Linked DNA regions of Caenorhabditis elegans. The protein of the gene in region 2 binds, or shares a complex with, the protein of the main gene of each other region. Each region holds a gene or a part of one and is shown on either strand. Other genes may lie near its edges. The genes, in order: eif-3.B, eif-3.H and eif-3.I.

Region 1 (5,951 bases), on a different chromosome or scaffold from region 2:
TGGAAACCTGGAAAATTTGAATTTAAATTATGTTATATTTATTTTCACATCATTTCACTCACCCTGATAATAATTAAACCGTGGATTAATACTGAGCACCCGTACAATTAATGGAATGAGTTCGGTTTGAAGCACGTCTCGATGGGTATCTGATATGTTCGGTGGGAACCTGGAAAGCGTCCGATGAACGTCCAATTCTACTTGATTCCATTCTTTGTGGCCTTTTAAATCTTCTAGTGTCAGCTCCTCGCTTTCCTGGAACACAAGCTTATATTTCATATTTAAAAAATTTATATTCAGTGTAAAAACCTCATAAGCAGGCTCCTCGTCGAAATCCGACTGCGCAGATTCGAAATCCGAGTCGTAGGACGAAGAAACATCGTCTAAATCATCGTTTTGCACTAAATTCGCGGATAAAACTGGCCAAATGACGGCGCGGAACTCATCGTCCACAAGCCCGCCGGGTGAAATCGCAAAATCGCGGAGTTCGTCTGAAAATCGTTTTTTGATAAATTTAAATTCAAATTCTATAATAAAAATTACCAATATATAAGCTGAGATCCTCTTTTCGGTGCTTTTTCAAAAATCGATCAATTGCTTCGCGTTTATTTCGCAACGCGTTGAATTTTGCTCTCGCCAGGGGTCCCGGCTGAAAAATTGATTTTTTTTCGTTAAATTTTCTCATTAAAAACCCCTACTTTTACATATTCTTCGCCCAAATCGCTGCATGAGGCTGTCTGCCACTTATCTACGAGCACCTCTTTCAACGGCGAATTTGGCTCCGAAAACGATGAGTGCATGAACGGGTTAATTGCTAAAATTGAAGTTTAAAGTTTTTTATAGAAATTTTATTTTAAAAAAGTATAAAAAGAACAGAGTAAAATAGAGAAAGTGGATTAAAAATTGACAGAAAACCCGATGAGACATTTGTCGTCAAATTTAATGCAAAGTGTGCATACACCGTCACGTCACATTGCACCATTTGTGGAATTTTTAATAAACGTGGAATTTTTTTTTCAGAATCACAATTTTATAGCGCTGAAAAATATAATTTATGAATTTTCACTTCTGTTTATTTGGAAAAAATCTGAAACATCAACTAATTCATCAACATTTTATCGGCAAAAACCACCAGAAAACACGGAGAGACGGGAGCAACAAGAGATATTAAAGTGGATAGAGAGAAACAATTAAATAATATTAGGGCCGCCCAAAAGAAGCTTGAAAAAACCTTCTCCATTCAGGCATCATAAAGTTAAATTTGCCATAGAAAAAGGCGTTGTTCAGAAAATGACGACATGACTGGGAAAATGAAGAGGAAAACGAAAACGAGTACATGGTGGAACCACCAAAAAGAGGGGACGCCGCTCCAAGTCTTCGAGAAATCAGGAAGAAAAAGCAGCGCATAAAAAAGGGGAAAAACCGGGAAATCAAATAACTAATTAGTCTCTCATCTCCTCCTCCGTCAGAGGGGCTTGTGTTTTGCTTGTGCTCAGCGCAATGGTAATCTCCTCATCCACAAATTCGTCCTCGTCGAGTTGGGCTTCTGTGTCCACGCCGTTTCGAAGAGAGATTCTCTCGTCACGGGTGGCGTCGAGTTGCTCGCGATTCCGGCTTCGAATAATATCGAAGGCAGCCATGATCTTGCGTCGCTTCTCAACAACCTCCTGACTGGCTCTGCACTTTTCGTCGTCATCCTGCTTGATGAACTTGGCGGCGGTCTTCTTCAAGTTCTTCTTGATCTCACGCTGCTTCTGTTCGCTCAACTTCACCGGCGGCCGTGGTCTCCACTTGAATTGGGCGAGCCGGTCGAGATTCTTTCTGCACAGTTCTCTTCCCTGGAATGTGAAGATTCGGTAACCCAAATCGGCTCCGGCTCTTCCTCCCAACGTTGAGCATGTCACAAAGTATCTTCCAGTTGGATCCCAATATCCCTTATTGAAGAGTGGATGTTCTATAACATTAGTTCTCTTGGCCTCCGACAAAGAAGTATCAATGAAATAGACGTTTCCTCCAGCTGACACCTTGGCGAGAACTGCAAGCCATCCTCCTTTCGGCGCGAATTGAACCTCATTGAAGTGAACTCCAGCGTCCAACTTGCTCACAAGCTTCGGTGCGTGGCTGTTAGCCTCGATCTTGTAGACTTGTGGAGTGGCCTTAGCGGTGTTTCCCACGAGCACACAGAACTTATCGCCTTCTGGATCCCAATCGAAATGGATGAATGGCTCCGAAAGTGGGAGATTCATAAGGGAAACGTCCTTCTTGTCAATCTCGAAGATGTCCACGTGGTATTGGCATCCTCCCTGAAATTATATCATTATTATTATTATTGTCATAGGCCTCAAAAAATCCTTTAAAAAACTCAAAACTTACCACATATTTGACTTCTCCGGTCTCTCTGTACTCCTTCTTCTTGAATCTCATCGTGTAGAAGGCCAATCGCTTTCCGCTCTTCTGCCAGAACATCTGAGCGTCGGCGACATTGTGAACGCGAGCCGAACGAAGTCTCTGCATTGATGGAACTTGCAAGAGTCCAAACTCGGCTGGAACGGCGTCAGTGCACTCTGAATAGTAGGCGAGGACTGTGGATGTTGGCGACCACTCGAATTGCTTGATATTCTCGATATTCACGGGACGGCCTTCATAGAGCTCGAACTTCTCGGATTCGAAGATCGAAATTCCGTTGATCTTCTGCTCACGCTCAAGCTTATCCTTTTCTGGAGCCTTGAGGCACGCGAAGTACTTCTCATCGAATGACCATCTGAAGAATGGCCAGGTTGGGAGCTGAGTTCTTCCGGTGAGCTCGAAAGTGGAAAAGGCCTTCTTCAATTCTCCGGTTCGGACGTCCCAAATTCTCAAACTATCCTTCTCACAGTCTCCCCAGCTGTTCGACTCTTCCGGAGCGGCGTAGGTAACAAGGTAGGTCTCACACGGCGAGAAATCAATGTATTGAACGTTGGTATGAGCGAAACGGTGGGCACGAGCGTAGTCTTTGCCTCCCCAAAGTATGATTCCTTGCTTATGGATCGTGGAAAGGTAGGAGCCGTGTGGTGACCAAGTGAAGACGGTTTCGGTCCAGTTCTGGAAAAAAAAATTATTTCATTTTTTAAAAACAAATAATTCTCAAAACTTACAGCTCTTTCAGCCTTATCGGCATCTCCTGCAAGCTCTGGATCATTTCCCTTCATATTGGTGAACACTCCGACAGTTGGAACTCCAAGTTTATCGTGGGAAATTGCGAACTGATCACGGCAACGCTCGTTTTGAAGCCACCACCAGAGATCTCCAACGTCATTATAAGCCTGCTTCTCTGGAGTTGTCCAGTGATCGGAAGGAGCTTCGAGTTGCTTCATATCCTTGAAAGAACGGGCGGTGAATGTGTGATTCTTATCGAAAGCATATCCATTCAAACTTTTCACGGCGAACTGAGCGGATCGTTGATCGGCCCACTCGGTGAGCAGAACTCCCTGGAAAAAATATATTAAAATCGATATCGTTTGCGTGAATCTCACCAAGCAACCTCCTTCTGGACTTGGCGGAATGTAGAGCTTCACTGCAGGATCCAACCTCTCCAGAACCTTCTTCAGTACACTTTGGAGTTTTCCAAGACGGTCAGCTCCAACAACTGGGATTCCCGCGATGAAGACGCAATTGTCTTCAAATTCATCGATAGTTGGTTTCTTGTGGAGAACGTCAGGAACGAGAACTGAAATAAAAACATTGATTGTTGGCTATTTTTTGGAATTGATTTCAAAAAATTGAATAAAAAACCAACCATCATCGGTGACGTCGTCAACAAATCCTGGCGGATCCGAAAAATCTTCTTCGTTCTCTTTATTAAAGTCAATTTCGACCATTCTGTGTAACCCAACTAGTCTGAAACTTTAGACACGGTTTATTGAGTAAATTGTGAGATATTTTAAAGGAAAATGGAAGGAAAAACGAGATAAGTTGAATTTTTACAGAATTTTCTCCGAAAATTGTGGAAAAATGTTGGAAAACGCTGGAAAATCTGAAAAATAGGACCGATATTTGGAATATGAACAAACTCTAAACAACACCCATGCGGGAGAACGGAGCGTCGTTGCAAGCGCTCGACCGAAGAGAATCCTAGGCCGCGTCCATGAGATTTGCGCGGAATTTCAAATAGAGATAATTTTGAAACTCAAACGCGAATCAATGCATTTATAAATATTTAATGAAAGAAAAATGGGTGTACGCAAACACCAGACTTTACGAAGAAATGCGGACATTTGCCCTTTTTTCCGGAGAACGCGGCAGCGAGTACATTTTAAATATATTTATCGATCAGTTGTTTAAGTAAATAGCACAATCGATACCGAGCTCCAGTCGATGCCCGCTCAACAATCAAAGAGCAAGCAACAATCCAAGGGGGTAGTCCTCACAACAATGCTGCTGACCGTTTACTGTACAAATCACGCAATTTTTACTATAACATGATGATTAGTATACATTATTCTCAATGGATTCGTCCTTGCAGATGATTTGCTATGAGTGTTTCAGTAAAAAGTTGTTGAATCAAAGAAGTTTTGGATTTTAAGAAAGAACTTGAAAACTTAAAATAATTCTGATAGTCTTAGGTCGTTTCATATTCTGGGTTAGATGAGTTTTGTCGACTGTGCAACAGAAAGGTTTGGGCTTTACATTGGAAAAAGTGAGTGTATTGCATCGGAAGACTATGTCTGGATACGGAGTTGTGTTTTTGTTAGTTTTACTGTAACATGATGATTAGTTTACATTATTCTCTTTGGATTCGTCCTTGCAGAGTATGGACTATGAGTGTTTCAGTAAAAAGTTGTTGAATCAAAGAAGTTTTGGATTTTAAGAAAGAACTTGAAAACTTAAAATATCTCTGACAGGGTTAGGTCGTTTCATATTCTGAGTTAGATGAGTTTTGTCGACTGTGCAACAGAAAGGTTTGGGCTTTACATTGGAAAAAGTGAGAGTATTGCCGGTACAAAATCTGCCAGCTTCGACGGAAGGGATAGCTTGTATAAAACGAAAAGTTAAAGGCAAAACCACAAATGATTTTTAGCAGTTCTTTTTTATTCTTCTGCGGATCGTCTTGCTTTTTCATGATTGATGATTCTTGGTTCTCCATGATTAGTACGGTAACACAGCAGCATTTTGTCAAGCTATGTTTTTGCGATGAGCGGCCCTGTTTGATGACCTAGCGGCACTCAATTGCGCGCTCAATCGAATGACTGGTTATTTAAAATCGAAAATAGAGGTGGGGTAGGCGATTTTTTTTGGAATTTTTTTAGTCTGCTACTTGATACATATAGACACTTTCGTATCTATAGAAATTTGATGTTCTTCAAATGCCACACCTCTAATCGATTTTTATTTGGCTAGCACAATCGATACCGAGCTCCAGTCGATGCCCGCTCAACAATCAAAGAGCAAGCAACAATCCAAGGGGGTAGTCCTCACAACAATGCTGCTGACCTTTTACTGTACAAATCACGCAATTTTTACTATAACATGATGATTAGTATACATTATTCTCAATGGATTCGTCCTTGCAGATGATTTGCTATGAGCGTTTTAGTAGAAAGTTGTTGAATCAAAGAAGTTTTGGAATTTAAGAAAGAACTTGGAAACTTAAAATATCTTTCATAGTCTTGGGCCGTTTCATATTTTGAGTTACATTAGTTTTATCAACTGTACAAGAGCAAGGTTCGGGTTTCACACTTGAACAAGTGAGAGTATTTCATCGGGAGACTATGTCTGGATATAATAACCGGTAGTGTAGTTTACTACAATAAAGTTGTGTAGTTCAATACGATCATCACCGGGGACTTCCTGTTCCAGTGGTCGTTTAGCTGTAGCTAAGCACTCACTGGATGTGGACCTCCAAGCCCTTTCTTGCATCACTTGGCCGGTGCTGGGTAACGCACGTGACGTGAGAAAGGTCGCAAATCCCTAGA
Region 2 (5,116 bases):
CTACCGTACTATTTAAAGGTGCACACCTTTCTACATTAAAAAATTGTCGTGTCGAGACCGGTTTTAATAAAAAATTGAATTTCCAGGTCTGCGAACATCTTACACCAGAACGATTAAAACACGCAGAAGGTGTGGATCGGAAGCTTTGTGAATTCAAGCCAGATATCACTTTCCCGCAGAAATTCCTTTCTCAAAATACGGATTATAAGGTTAGTTCTTCGTAATTATTACATAAAAAATATTTCTGAACCATCCAATGTTTCAGTGCAGTGGATTCGATCGTGGACATCTCGCCGCCGCTGGAAATCATCGGAAGAGTCAGTTGGCGGTCGATCAAACTTTTTATTTGAGCAATATGAGCCCACAAGTTGGACGAGGATTCAATCGCGATAAGTGGAATGATTTGGAAATGCACTGCAGGTTGGTAAAATAAATAAAGTTTTTTGCCGGGAAAAAAACGCGAAAAATGTGAAATAATTTTTTTTCTCGTCGACGAAGTTTTTCGCAAAAACACGTAACTCTAAAGAATTTTGTTTTTTGAAAAATTAATACAATTTGAAACTTTTGGAAAATTTTTTTGAGAAAAAAAAACGAAAAATCTACAGCCCAGTCTGAAACCAGCTGGTACCAAGATTTTTCTTTACAATACTAAAAATAATTTTCTACAATTTCCAGAAGAGTCGCAAAAAAGATGATCAACTCCTACATAATCACCGGTCCCCTCTACCTTCCAAAACTTGAAGGAGATGGAAAAAAGTATATCAAGTATCAAGTTATCGGTGATAATAACGTTGCAGTGCCAACTCATTTCTTCAAAGTTGCTCTTTTCGAAGTGACACCCGGCAAATTCGAGCTGGAATCCTATATTTTGCCAAACGCAGTCATCGAGGATACTGTAGAAATTTCCAAGTTCCATGTTCCATTGGATGCTGTGGAGAGAAGTGCGGGTCTTGAGATTTTCGCTCGTTTGGACCCTAAGAGCATTGTGAAAGAGAACGGAGCAAAGAAGGGAGGATTACTTTGGTGATTGATTGGATTGTGATTCCGGTGAATTTTAGGTTTAGGTTGTTTTGTTTTTGTTTCACAAATAAATTTTTTGTTAACTTTTTTGATTTACTGATTGAAAAAACTTGAAAACTCAATTAAAAAGAACAATACCAATAGAAATTTTAAAATCTTAACTTACTATTAGTCAACAACAAAAATTCATCCGAAATAGGGGAAGGTGGAAAAGGATACCAGAAAGGAATTTCATACGGCAAAAAAATTTGGATGAAAAACAATATCCCTATATTGAAAGTGAGACATTATTTTATGTCACTAGTTTTATGTAATATGAAATTCCTTTCACCGAGAGAAAAATATTTTAGAAAAGAAAAAGTAAATTAAAGGGAACAGGGAGGAAACAAAAACACGAGTATATTTGGGAATCTTAACGAGTCGATGAGACAGAGCTCAAAGTTCTGTCTTTTGTTCCGGCGACTTTCTCCTCAGCAACAGCTTCAGCGATGAACATTTTCGTGATATTTTCGCTGGTCACAGTCTTCGAGAAGTCAGCGAGAGCGTTGGTGTCAAAACTGGCGAGAAGCTCATCCAAAAGTCCATTTCTTGTTTGGAGTTGTGGAGCCTTGATTCTCTTGATGTCATCCATTGGAATTGTTGGATCACCACGGGCCACACGTGATTCGTTCTCCTGTTGCTGAAATTGGAAAAATATAAATTTTTAATGATAGAGATTTTTTTTTCGAAAATCGTGAATGGCACCTTTATTCCACCGAAAATGTACCCCTCACATCCGGTTTTATAGTTAGTGGAGCCTCGATATGTTGGAAAATGGTTTTCAAAAAACAAGACTTTAGGTTTGAAAGCCGTTACACTTCGGAATATAAATTTTAGCGATACAATCAGGATATTTTTAATTTCAAAATTCGAAATTCTTACTCTTTTCTGCGTCAGACTGAACACCATATTATCATGTCTTTGCTTGTCAATAGTGTACTTCGTCAACGACTGAATTGACTTGTTCAGCTCATCAACATTAGCCATCATAGCTCGGACCGACTTTTCAAGCGACTTCTTGGATCCCAAATCGAAGTGTCTCGTGGAGTACTTGTCAGAAGAGCATGATTTAGCGAGTGAAAGCTCAGACATGAGAACATTGTTGAGATATGAGGATTTGATGATGATTGGCAACTCCTCGAACATGTTCTGGTATGTCAAACCAGCGGCTTTCACCCTGAAAAGATATGTCTTTGCAAATATATTTTTAAACTCAAAAACCATACAATTCTGGTCTCCAGTCATTCTTTGAAGCGAGATCAAGAGCAGCGGTGGAAAGACGCCAGGCTCTTAGAGAAAGCTGTCCTTGGCGAGTCTTGATTGGATCTGAAAGCAATTAGAATTAATTATTTATCCTCATTAATCTGTCTAACCATAAATAAGAACAACATTTTCTGGGCCCATAGCCTGGTAATCGAACATAGATTCTACGAGATCGTGTGAGAAACCGGCTCCGAATTGATGAGACTGATAGAATCCAACGATTTCGTAATCGATATTCATTGTACGGAATTTGCGGAGCATGTCAAGCATCTCGTGTTGCTTTTGCTCTTCGTATTGTTGAGCGGCCTATAATAGAAAATATATTGGAATCACTAGCATGAGCTAATTTTACATTAGCATCGTCATCCATAACTGGCTCGTTGCGAACTGTTGGGAAGCAATTGGTGATTTCCAAGCGAGAATCTTCAAGGAAAACAAGACCGGTGAGAACTCCGGCACAAGCGTCTCCAGATACCTGTAAATTACATGTTAAGCTTGAAATTAAATTAAAATAATATACCTCACTAATTCCTGCATGAAGTTCACTGTCCACGTGCTTCACAATTTTCATAACCACAAGCGAATCCAAAAGGATATGCTTGACGCTCGGAGCGGTAATTGTCACTGCTGTCGACATTTTTGATAACCCTGAAAGATGAGCATTTAGTTTTTCAAATTTTCTAAAGAACAATAAACAATAACATGCATCTCACAAGAGGAAAAATCAATAATCTAAGCATCACGAATTTTTCGAAAGAAAATTAAAAATATAAATTTCAGAAAATTGGCGAGAAAAACCTCAAAATAATCAATAAAATCTTGAAAATAGGAAACACTCCACGAAATTAATTCCTTCCGTTGTTGTGTGCAACTGCGCGTCAATTGTAGTGCATGCACACAATTGCACACCGTACCCGCGCGTGATCTTTTGATTTGAATTCAAATTTTTGTCGTTCTTTTGTTTTTGGGATTTACTTTTTAAAATGCTTTTTGAAACTTTTTAAGAGAAATTGTATATTTTCAGATGCAATCGAGTGCATCCAACGACCCTAATAAACCTACAAATAATGAAATAATAAAGGTAAGCGCATTTATGAAAAAAAAATCAATAAAACACAATTCTTAAATAAACTAGCTTTATTGGAATCCATTTGAAGATTTAATATTATAACCAAATGCATATTAAAAAATAATTGTAAATTTGTTTCAGACACCATTGGTTCCACCAAGTCCACGTGGAGGATTAAAACGAATGGCGGGAATGAGCCAATTGAAATCGACTTTTTCAATTTCTTTGGAGGTAAAACCCTCAAGTTTCCAGCATTTTTGTTTAATAATATTCATAATAGTCTCAGAGAACAATCCCACCACCATCATCGTCCTCATCCTTCCTATCCCATTCAACATCGATGGTTTCTGTAGCAGCGAGTCTCAAAAGAGCCGGTGTACCTAGTCTAACTCGAACAAAGACTAGTGCATTACCCATAAAAATGGAGAAAAAGCCAATGGTTCCATTGCGGATAGAACAGGACCACCAGACACCGATCCGAAAACTGGCTCCGGAGAGTATTCCAAGCCTGGAAGATCAAGTAACACCGCCAATGCGTCGATCTAGTAGTGGATCAATGCTGTTGAGACAGACGCCTGAAAGGATTCGAAGGCAAGAAGAAGATGTGGAAACACCTGGTTCTCCAGTTAAAAGATACCGAAGATCCGGGTCAATGCCACGATTAGAGGCCCAGTCCCTTGATGTTCCAATACGAATGGAAATTGGAAATAGCTTAACTCCTGTGTTAAAGAGGAAGAGAACATCTTCATTAACGGTAATATATTCAACTGAATCATATCAGAGCTGGGCGGCAAATTTTTTTTCGAAAAATTCGGCGAATTTCCGAAAATTTGATTTTTCGGCAAATGCCGATTCGCCGGAAATTTCAATTCCGGCAATCTGAAATGTTTTCCCGTTTTTCTAGATATTTTCATAGAATTTCCTTACTTTTCAAAATAGAAGTAGGAACATATTTTTTTATATTACGGGAACACAAAATACTGAGAACGCGTATTACACAACATATTTGACCCGCAAAATATCTCGTAGCGAAAACTACAGTAATTCATCAAATTACTCCTGTAGCGCTTGTGTCGATTTACGGGCTTGATTTTGGAAATATCTATCGATGAATAAATAATTTTAATTCATTTCGAGAATCGAGCCCTTAAATCGACCTACAGTAGTCATTTAGATAATTACTGTAGTTTTCGCTACGAGATATTTTGCGCGTCAAATATGTTGTGAAATACGCATCATCAGAATTTTGTGTTCCCGTAATAGGAGGCGTACAATTTCGCGTCTTTAACTTGAAATTCTGAAGTTTCCAATAAAAAGTGCAACAGCACAGTTTGCCGAAATGCCGGAAATTTCAATTCCGGCGATTTGCCGATTTGCCGGAAAAAATCGTTTGCCGCCCAATCATATAAAACTAGTTTCTGAAAATAACAAAAAATATTATTTCAGTGTCTCTTTTCATCCGACATGCCACCAATTTTAACTCCACAACGTTTACGTCCACGTGGCATTTCTGAGACCCGTACCATCGATGATGACGTGTTCGTTCCAAAATCACCTACGAAAAAGCCAATAACTTCGCCAATCAAAAAACGAGTTCGTCAAGATTCGGAAAATCGTTCGACAAGTCCCCTCAAAAAACGATATATCTCGTCGTTTTCGATTCGGCTCGAAGAGGAAAAGGAAATTGAAAAAGGTTTTTATGAAAGCCTGAAAAAAAATAAACAT
Region 3 (7,111 bases), 2.0 Mb from region 2:
CACATTTGTGCAAACTCTGCACAAATCCTTGACATTTCGTGTCTGAGTAGCCGAAAAGAGCAGCGTCTGACGTTCCGCGGGCAAATTATTAATGATCGAGTTGAGCTGCTTCGAGAATCCCATATCAAGCATTCGATCCGCCTCGTCGAGCACCAAAACTTGAAGCGAATCACAGCTCATTTGAGCATTCTCATCCATGTGTTGTAGGAGACGTCCCGGTGTGCAAACGATGATATTAATCCCGCTGATGCGATTTCTCTCGAATGCCACGTCACTTCCGCCGATAACCAAGCCACACGAGAATCCGTGATGGGCTCCGACGGCGTTAATTGTGCTAAATGTCTGAAGAGCCAGCTCTCGTGTCGGTGAAATGATTAGCGCTCCGAGACCATAGTCTGGAGACCATTTTGCTCGCCAAAGAGCCTCCAGCACGGGGATCACCAGTGCCAGAGTCTTTCCGCTGCCGGTTTTTGCGGCTCCGACGACATCTGAGCCGGTCAGAGAGTAGGCAATCGTGTCCCGTTGGATTTCTGTGGGTTTTGTGTAGTCATTATCCTTGAGACCCTCCAGTGTCCTCCAGGAGAGCGGGAAATCCTCGAAGCGGAGAAATGTGCGGGAGCTTTTCTGGAAAAATCGATTTTTTAATAAAAAAACTATTTTTTAGAGCTACCTTGAGCATTTCCTGATATTTCTGCTCAACTTCGTCGAGCATTGTCTCCTCCTGTCCCTTTAAATCCTGTTTTCTCTTTTTCAGAAGCCGCTTCTCCTTCAACGCTTTTCTGACACTTGGATCCTGCTCGCCATCGAAATTTCGTTTTCTTTTATTATTTCCAGCCCATTTCTGTGCTCCGCCGCCTTTTCCGTTTGTGTGAGGCATTGAAAACGCTGAAAATTGGGTAAAAATATTTAAAAATTGCAGGAAAAATCGTGCGCGGCAGTTGCGAAAAAAGCGTGCCAGGGTTGCATTCTGACTCCGCCCACAATTTTTCTTAATTTTTAATTGAGAAAAAATTAATTTTTTTTAAAAATATAATAATTGGAGATTAAAACCAAGAAATTCGAGGGAATAGATCAATTTTAACTCAAAATAATATTTATTTATGAAAAAAAAAACAATTAAAAGCCACCGAAAATTGATCTTAAATATGGAAAAAATGGAAAAAACAGAAAATCACCACCGCGTAATTTTAGAATTTGATAAATTTTAAAGGTTTTCCGAACTGCATAGGCTTAAATTCGTCATTTAAACTCTAAAATTAGGCGGTTTTCAACAGGAACGAGTAGGAAAAAGGGGGAAACGGTCTTTTTTTGGCAAATACGATCGCCCGGGAAACAGGAAGAAAACGAAAACGTAGAACAAATTAAAAATCGTAGGTGAAGCCGAGGTAGTCCTCGTCGAACTCTTGAATTCTGATGTAACCTGGAAAAAAATCAATAATTTTTGAATTTTTATATGAAAAATCCTCAAATCGCACTGCAACTTTTTTTTGAACGAGGGACGAGGAAATGCGGTTTCTAGGCCATGGCCGAGGATCCGACAAGATTTATCGGCAATTTATCTTGCAATGTTTTCCGCGAGTTTTCTTTTATTTTTCACCGATTTTTCCCCCGTTTTTTTCTTATTAAAACTGATAAATAAATTTTTTTAAAACCAGATGCTAAAATAATTTCCAAGTGAAAAAAATTGTGAATTCAGCCGGCAAGTAGCGGTGAAAGTGGTCAATGTAATATGATGGATTACGGGAATACTAAACACTAAACTTTTTTCGAAACATGATACATATGCTGCTTAGAGGCTGAAACTACCTGATTTTAATAACGAGACCGCTGAAAAAGTTTTTTGAGATTTTCAAAATTCAACATTTTGTGGAAAAATCTCGACTTTTTCGCCAAAAAGGTTGAATTTTGAAAATCTCAAAACTTTTTCAGCGGTCTCGTTATTAAAATCAGGTAGTTTCAGCATCTAAGCAGCATTTATAGCATGTTTTGGAAGAAAGTTTAGGTTTAGTATTCCCGTAATCCATCATATTACATTGACCACTTCCACCGCTACTTGCCGGCTGAATTCACAATTTTTTCACTTGAAAATTATTTTAGCATCTGCAAAAACAATATTTCTTCATCAGTTTTAATAAGAAAAAACGGGGGAAACATCGGTGAAAAATAAAAGAAAAAACGCGGAAAACAAAGCAAGATAAATTGCTGATAAATCTTGTCGGATCCTCGGTCATGGCCTAGAAACCGCATTTCCTCGTCCCTCGTTCAAAAAAAAAGTTGCAGTGGAATCCCCATACCGTCTTCTCCTCCAGTCGCGATAATTGTGCCCGATGGATGCCAGGCCATCGTGTTAATCGGTCCGAAATGTCCCTTGAATCTGGCGAATTCCTCTTCGAACACCATATGATAGATCTTGGCTTCAAAGTGTCCAGCAGAGACAGACGTCTGTGTGACCTGCATCGCGTCTTCTCCTCCTCCAAGGCAAATGTGATCGCGATTCGGTGAGATGCATGCCGAGTTGACGGGACGCTCGGATTTGTATTGTTTCAGCTTTTTCAGATCGTTCACGTCGAGCAGGGCGGCCGTCTTGTCGCGTGAAGCGGAGATCAGGAAATCGCCGCGTGGTGATAGTTGGAGATCTTGGACGCTGTACTGAAATTTTGGGAAATTTTTTTTTTGAAATTATTTTAGAAATCACGGAGGCACCACGGATTAAAGATCTCGTCGAATTCCGGATCTGGCACCGTGCCAACTGCAGTTTTCGCAGTTTTCTCGAAGAAAAATGTGGTTTTTTTTTAAATTTTCTTCAGGAAAAACGCTAAACAACACGCGATGCGTAACATCGGAGCATCGTTGTCAGGATTTTTTCCAGAAAAATTGCGTTAATTTTTTTTGAGTTGGTACGGTGCCAGATCCGGAATTCCACAAGATCTTGAATTTCGTGGAGCCTCGGTCTTATAATCATTGGAGCGCGCTTGCTGACACCTCACGAACTCCCGAATTCGCGGAATTTTGTTTCCACGGGAAATAAGGTTTTTTTGCTAATTTTGGTTTCTATGGAAATTAATATAAATTTTTGATGGATATTGTTGTTGGGAAGCTTTATACGACTCGAAAACGCGTAAAATTTAAGGTTTTACATCAAAAATCGGGAGTTTTTTGATTTCAGAATTTTAAAATATACATTTTTTGTAGAGAAAAATACAGTTTTAATTGATTTAATTGGTTTTTTCATTGAAAAAAATTAGAATAATCAAAATAATCAATCACTGCCGGATTTTGCTGCTTTTTCTCTTCAAAATGAGATTTTCACGGCTTTCAAATCGAAAAAACTGCCGATTTTGTTCCATTTTTCGAGAAAACTAAATTATTTCTTCGAATTTTTGGTTTTAATCTTGTGTGCGGAGTCAGGATGCAACCCTGGCACGCCTTCTTCGCAACTGTGCCGCGCACGGTTTTTTAATGCGAAATTTCGCCAATTTTCCAAATTGTACACACTTTCGGCTCTAATAATGTTTCCCCACAACAATAAAAACCAAAAATTAGCAATAAAATTTCCGCCAATTCAGGAGATCGTAAAGTGTCAGCAAGCGCTCCAGAGAACAACGAAAAAATGACGAACACGATGAACACTCTCGTTAGTGTGAATTGGTGTATCCGGATTTCTCAAATCGTACTGCTGAAGGAGTCCAGACTCGAATCCGATCGTCACGAGGTCATCCATCTGAGTGAAAAGTGCGGTCGTGGCGTTCACATCGAATTGTGAGTAGAAGAATGACTCTCCACCCTCAACCATTTGACTTGAATCACGAAGATCTCGGACTTGGAACGTCGAGAGATTCTTTGTCATCTTTTGTGTGGTGAAGCACACCAAATTTCCTGAATACGAGAATCCGCACGACTTCATCGGAGTCTGATGGTTGATTGTGTAGAGGCAGTTGCCGAGCTCGGCATCCCAAATCTTCACGGTGAGGTCTCCGGACGCGGTGACACACTTGGTAGTGTCCCATGAGACGTCGATATCCCACACGGCTCCGTTATGCCCGTCGTAGCTACCTGAAAAGAAAAATAATAAATAAATATATTTAAAAGGTGGAGTAGCGTCAGTGGGAAAATTGCTTTAAAACATGCATATGGTACCACAGTGACCGAATATCATGATTAAAAATTTCAAAAAAATTTTCTAAATTTTATATGATTTTTTGAAAAATTGAAAAAAATCTCAGTTTTTGCCTAATTCCAATTTTAATTACCGCCAATTGGATTTGTTCGATGGAGCGCGCTTGCACGTTTTAAAATTTATTTATTTTATTTTTTGTTATTTTCCAACGATTTTTAATGTTTTCGATGTATTTTTGCTTGAATTTTAGAGAAAAAGTCAAAATAATTGCAAATTTTCGATTAAAAAGCACGCTTAGAGGCGTAAAAAATGAAAAGTAACGCTTTTAAACGATTTCGAACCTGAATTAATAAATTTCACTGATTTACGCCTGTAAGCGTGCTTTTTAATTGAAAATTTGCAATTCTTTTGACTTTTTCTCTAAAATTCAAGCAAAAATACACCGAAAACATTAAAAATCGGTGGAAAATAACAATAAATAAAATAAATAAATTTAAAAACGTGCAAGCGCGCTCCATCGAACAAATCCAATTGGCGGTAATTAAAATTGAAATTAGGCAAAAACTGAGATTTTTTCAATTTTCAAAAAATCATATAAAATTTAGAAAATTTTTTTGAAATTTTTAATCATGATATTCGGTCATTGTGGTACCATATGCATGTTTTAAAGCAATTTTCCCACTAGCGCTACTCCACCTTTAATTCTGCGAAAATTTTTCGCGAAAATATTCAAAAATACCGATTCTCTCTCCATTTTCAGTATACCAAACGCATGGCTTCTTGTCCTTAGCACAGGAGAACGTCAAATCTCCCTCACGATTGAAACGGACCCGAGTGAGAGCACGTTCGTGGCCTTTCAGCGAAAGTGGACGCATTTCTGAAAGAAATCCCCTATTTTTGAAGGTTTCTGCGAGAAATTGGTGGAATATTCGGCAGTTTTGATTATAAAATGAATTATTGGCTTAATTATTAATAAATTCCATTAAAAAAATGAAAATTAGAAGCCAGAAAACATGGGAAATATTCGAAAAATAAGCGAAAAAACAACAAGAAATAGGATTTGGCTCAACCTCCGCAATTTGGCGTGACAGTGTTTGCGGACTTGCGTACCGTACCCCCGCGCAGAATAATCGACATCAGCTGACGAAATTTCGATTTTCAGCAATTTTCAGCAATTTCGAGTGGTTTTCAGTAGTTTTCAACAATTAAAAAGTGAATTTTATCAAATTTTTAGCAATATATTAATTAAAAACTCAAATTTTAACATGTTCCACCACAAATAACTGCTAAATTTCGCAACTCTCAATTCTCATCGATTTTTTTGCGAAAGCTTCACCGAATCCAGTTTTCAGAGATCGATAATGTTACAATTACGACTAATAGCTGGCCTACGGAACGCGTCAAACACTATCAGATCGCAGGTATCGTTAAAAAACCCGAGAATTTCCGGTAAAATATTGATTTTCAGGCAGTTTACCGCAGTTTCTCGTCACTGACAAAATCACCAGCACTCATCAGAAATGCCACACAGATTCTTAGTAAAAATGTGGGGTTTTGCGATAATTTGTTGAAAAAAACGTTTTAAAATCCTTAAAAAACATTTTATAGAAATTTCCATGAATTTTTAGGTTAAAAATATGTATTTTCACATTTTTTAAAGCTAATTCCAGAAATTTTTGCCTCGAAAAAGTTAATTTTTAGCCAATTAGAGCGAAAAATAAGCTTGTGGTCTCGAAGCGAAAACTACAGTCTCTAAAGTTAGAATTAAATTTTGCTATGCGCCTTTAAAGCTTTTACGGTAGCTGAGATATCGATTTTTCTCTTTTATAAATTAATTTTTTTCTGAATTTTCTTCAAAAAATTCCATTTTAGGCCTAATATATATCGAAATTTTCACTTTTTCTGCTCAAAAAATATATAATTTCTAAAAAAAAAAGCAGTTTATTTTGAAAAAAAAAACAGAAATTTGTGAAAAAGTTGCTGGAAAGCACCACTGGAACGTGGGAATCTTTCCAGAACTGGAAAAATCTAGCATTTTTCTTAAGAAAAGTCCAGTTTTTCGGGGAAAATTGGATTTTTTCACCTTAAAATCATTTTAAAAAAATGCTTAAAAATCAACAAATGGAATCTGCGAAAATTGGATTTTACCTCGAAAAATATGATTTTCAGTAGAATTTTAATGGAAAAATTGAATTTTCCGTTGAACTTCGTTCAAAGTAGCAACTTTCCGTGCTTAGAATCGTATTTTTAAGCAAAAATACGATGAAATAGCACGTTTTCCAGGAATTGTGTTGTCGCAAGCTTCAAACAATTCTCAAAAATCACAAATTTGAGATGAAGCTCGGAAGCTCCAAAGGAACTTGGAAAGTTGCATTTTTCATCCGAAAAACCCAGTTTTTTGGTGTAAAATTAGGTTTTTACACCCTAAAATCATGAAAAAATGCTCAAAAATCAACTTTATTAGCTCAAAAAGCACCAAAAACGTGTCCCAAATTCGAAAAAAGACATTAAAAAATCAATTAATTCTTCTTCTGAGCTTCTGATCCGAACTCAAAACTGAGTTCTCCTTCGTTATTCTGCTTACATTTCACATTTTGTCCATTATCAAGTTGTCCACTGGCATTCAACTCTAACAGCTCATCGGAGCAAACGAAACCTGCGGTTTACCTCGAAAAATATGAATTTCAGTGGAATTTTAATGGAAAAATTGAATTTTCCGTTGAATTTTGGTCAAAATAGCGATTTTTCGAGCAAAAAATCGTATTTTTAAGCTAAAATACGATGAAATAGCACGTTTTTCAGAAATTGTGCAGTTTTGTTCAATCGGAAGCTTTAAATAATTCTCAAAAATCACAAATTTGAGATGAAGCTCAACTGCTTAAGCTAAGGCTTAGGCTTAGGCTTTTCTACTCCACGGGAACATGAGAATACCTCCACAAGTGGAACAATTTTGCGTTTTTTCCCAGTTTTTTTTGGTGAAAATTCGATTTTTCT

The links.
Region 1: eif-3.H (region 2) and eif-3.B share a complex: the UniProt entries of both Caenorhabditis elegans proteins name them as parts of the eukaryotic translation initiation factor 3 (eIF-3) complex.
Region 3: eif-3.H (region 2) and eif-3.I share a complex: the UniProt entries of both Caenorhabditis elegans proteins name them as parts of the eukaryotic translation initiation factor 3 (eIF-3) complex.

Annotation. Positions count from the first base shown.
Region 1 is NC_003280.10:14,793,335-14,799,285, reverse strand, and holds eif-3.B (Eukaryotic translation initiation factor 3 subunit B), read right to left. Parts: upstream 3,883-5,951; 5' UTR 3,858-3,882; coding exon 3,776-3,857; intron 3,707-3,775; coding exon 3,513-3,706; intron 3,468-3,512; coding exon 3,135-3,467; intron 3,082-3,134; coding exon 2,374-3,081; intron 2,304-2,373; coding exon 1,443-2,303; 3' UTR 1,051-1,442; downstream 1-1,050. Other genes in the region: tbc-20 (Rab-GAP TBC domain-containing protein), read right to left, coding at 1-7, 63-255, 310-491, 544-649, 699-800. UniProt on the Caenorhabditis elegans protein: RNA-binding component of the eukaryotic translation initiation factor 3 (eIF-3) complex, which is involved in protein synthesis of a specialized repertoire of mRNAs and, together with other initiation factors, stimulates binding of mRNA and methionyl-tRNAi to the 40S ribosome.
Region 2 is NC_003279.8:4,442,573-4,447,688, reverse strand, and holds eif-3.H (Eukaryotic translation initiation factor 3 subunit H), read right to left. Parts: upstream 2,971-5,116; 5' UTR 2,960-2,970; coding exon 2,843-2,959; intron 2,798-2,842; coding exon 2,675-2,797; intron 2,629-2,674; coding exon 2,433-2,628; intron 2,386-2,432; coding exon 2,286-2,385; intron 2,237-2,285; coding exon 1,942-2,236; intron 1,700-1,941; coding exon 1,433-1,699; 3' UTR 1,076-1,432; downstream 1-1,075. Other genes in the region: cps-6 (Endonuclease G, mitochondrial), read left to right, coding at 87-209, 266-420, 676-1,027; C41D11.3 (Cysteine/serine-rich nuclear protein N-terminal domain-containing protein), read left to right, coding at 3,347-3,403, 3,533-3,622, 3,672-4,145, 4,838-5,084. UniProt on the Caenorhabditis elegans protein: Component of the eukaryotic translation initiation factor 3 (eIF-3) complex, which is involved in protein synthesis of a specialized repertoire of mRNAs and, together with other initiation factors, stimulates binding of mRNA and methionyl-tRNAi to the 40S ribosome.
Region 3 is NC_003279.8:2,483,750-2,490,860, reverse strand, and holds eif-3.I (Eukaryotic translation initiation factor 3 subunit I), read right to left. Parts: upstream 5,001-7,111; 5' UTR 4,993-5,000; coding exon 4,857-4,992; intron 4,054-4,856; coding exon 3,620-4,053; intron 2,650-3,619; coding exon 2,295-2,649; intron 1,421-2,294; coding exon 1,362-1,420; 3' UTR 1,074-1,361; downstream 1-1,073. Other genes in the region: ddx-10 (ATP-dependent RNA helicase), read right to left, coding at 4-624, 671-877; abtm-1 (Iron-sulfur clusters transporter ABCB7, mitochondrial), read left to right, coding at 5,479-5,538, 5,586-5,663. UniProt on the Caenorhabditis elegans protein: Component of the eukaryotic translation initiation factor 3 (eIF-3) complex, which is involved in protein synthesis of a specialized repertoire of mRNAs and, together with other initiation factors, stimulates binding of mRNA and methionyl-tRNAi to the 40S ribosome.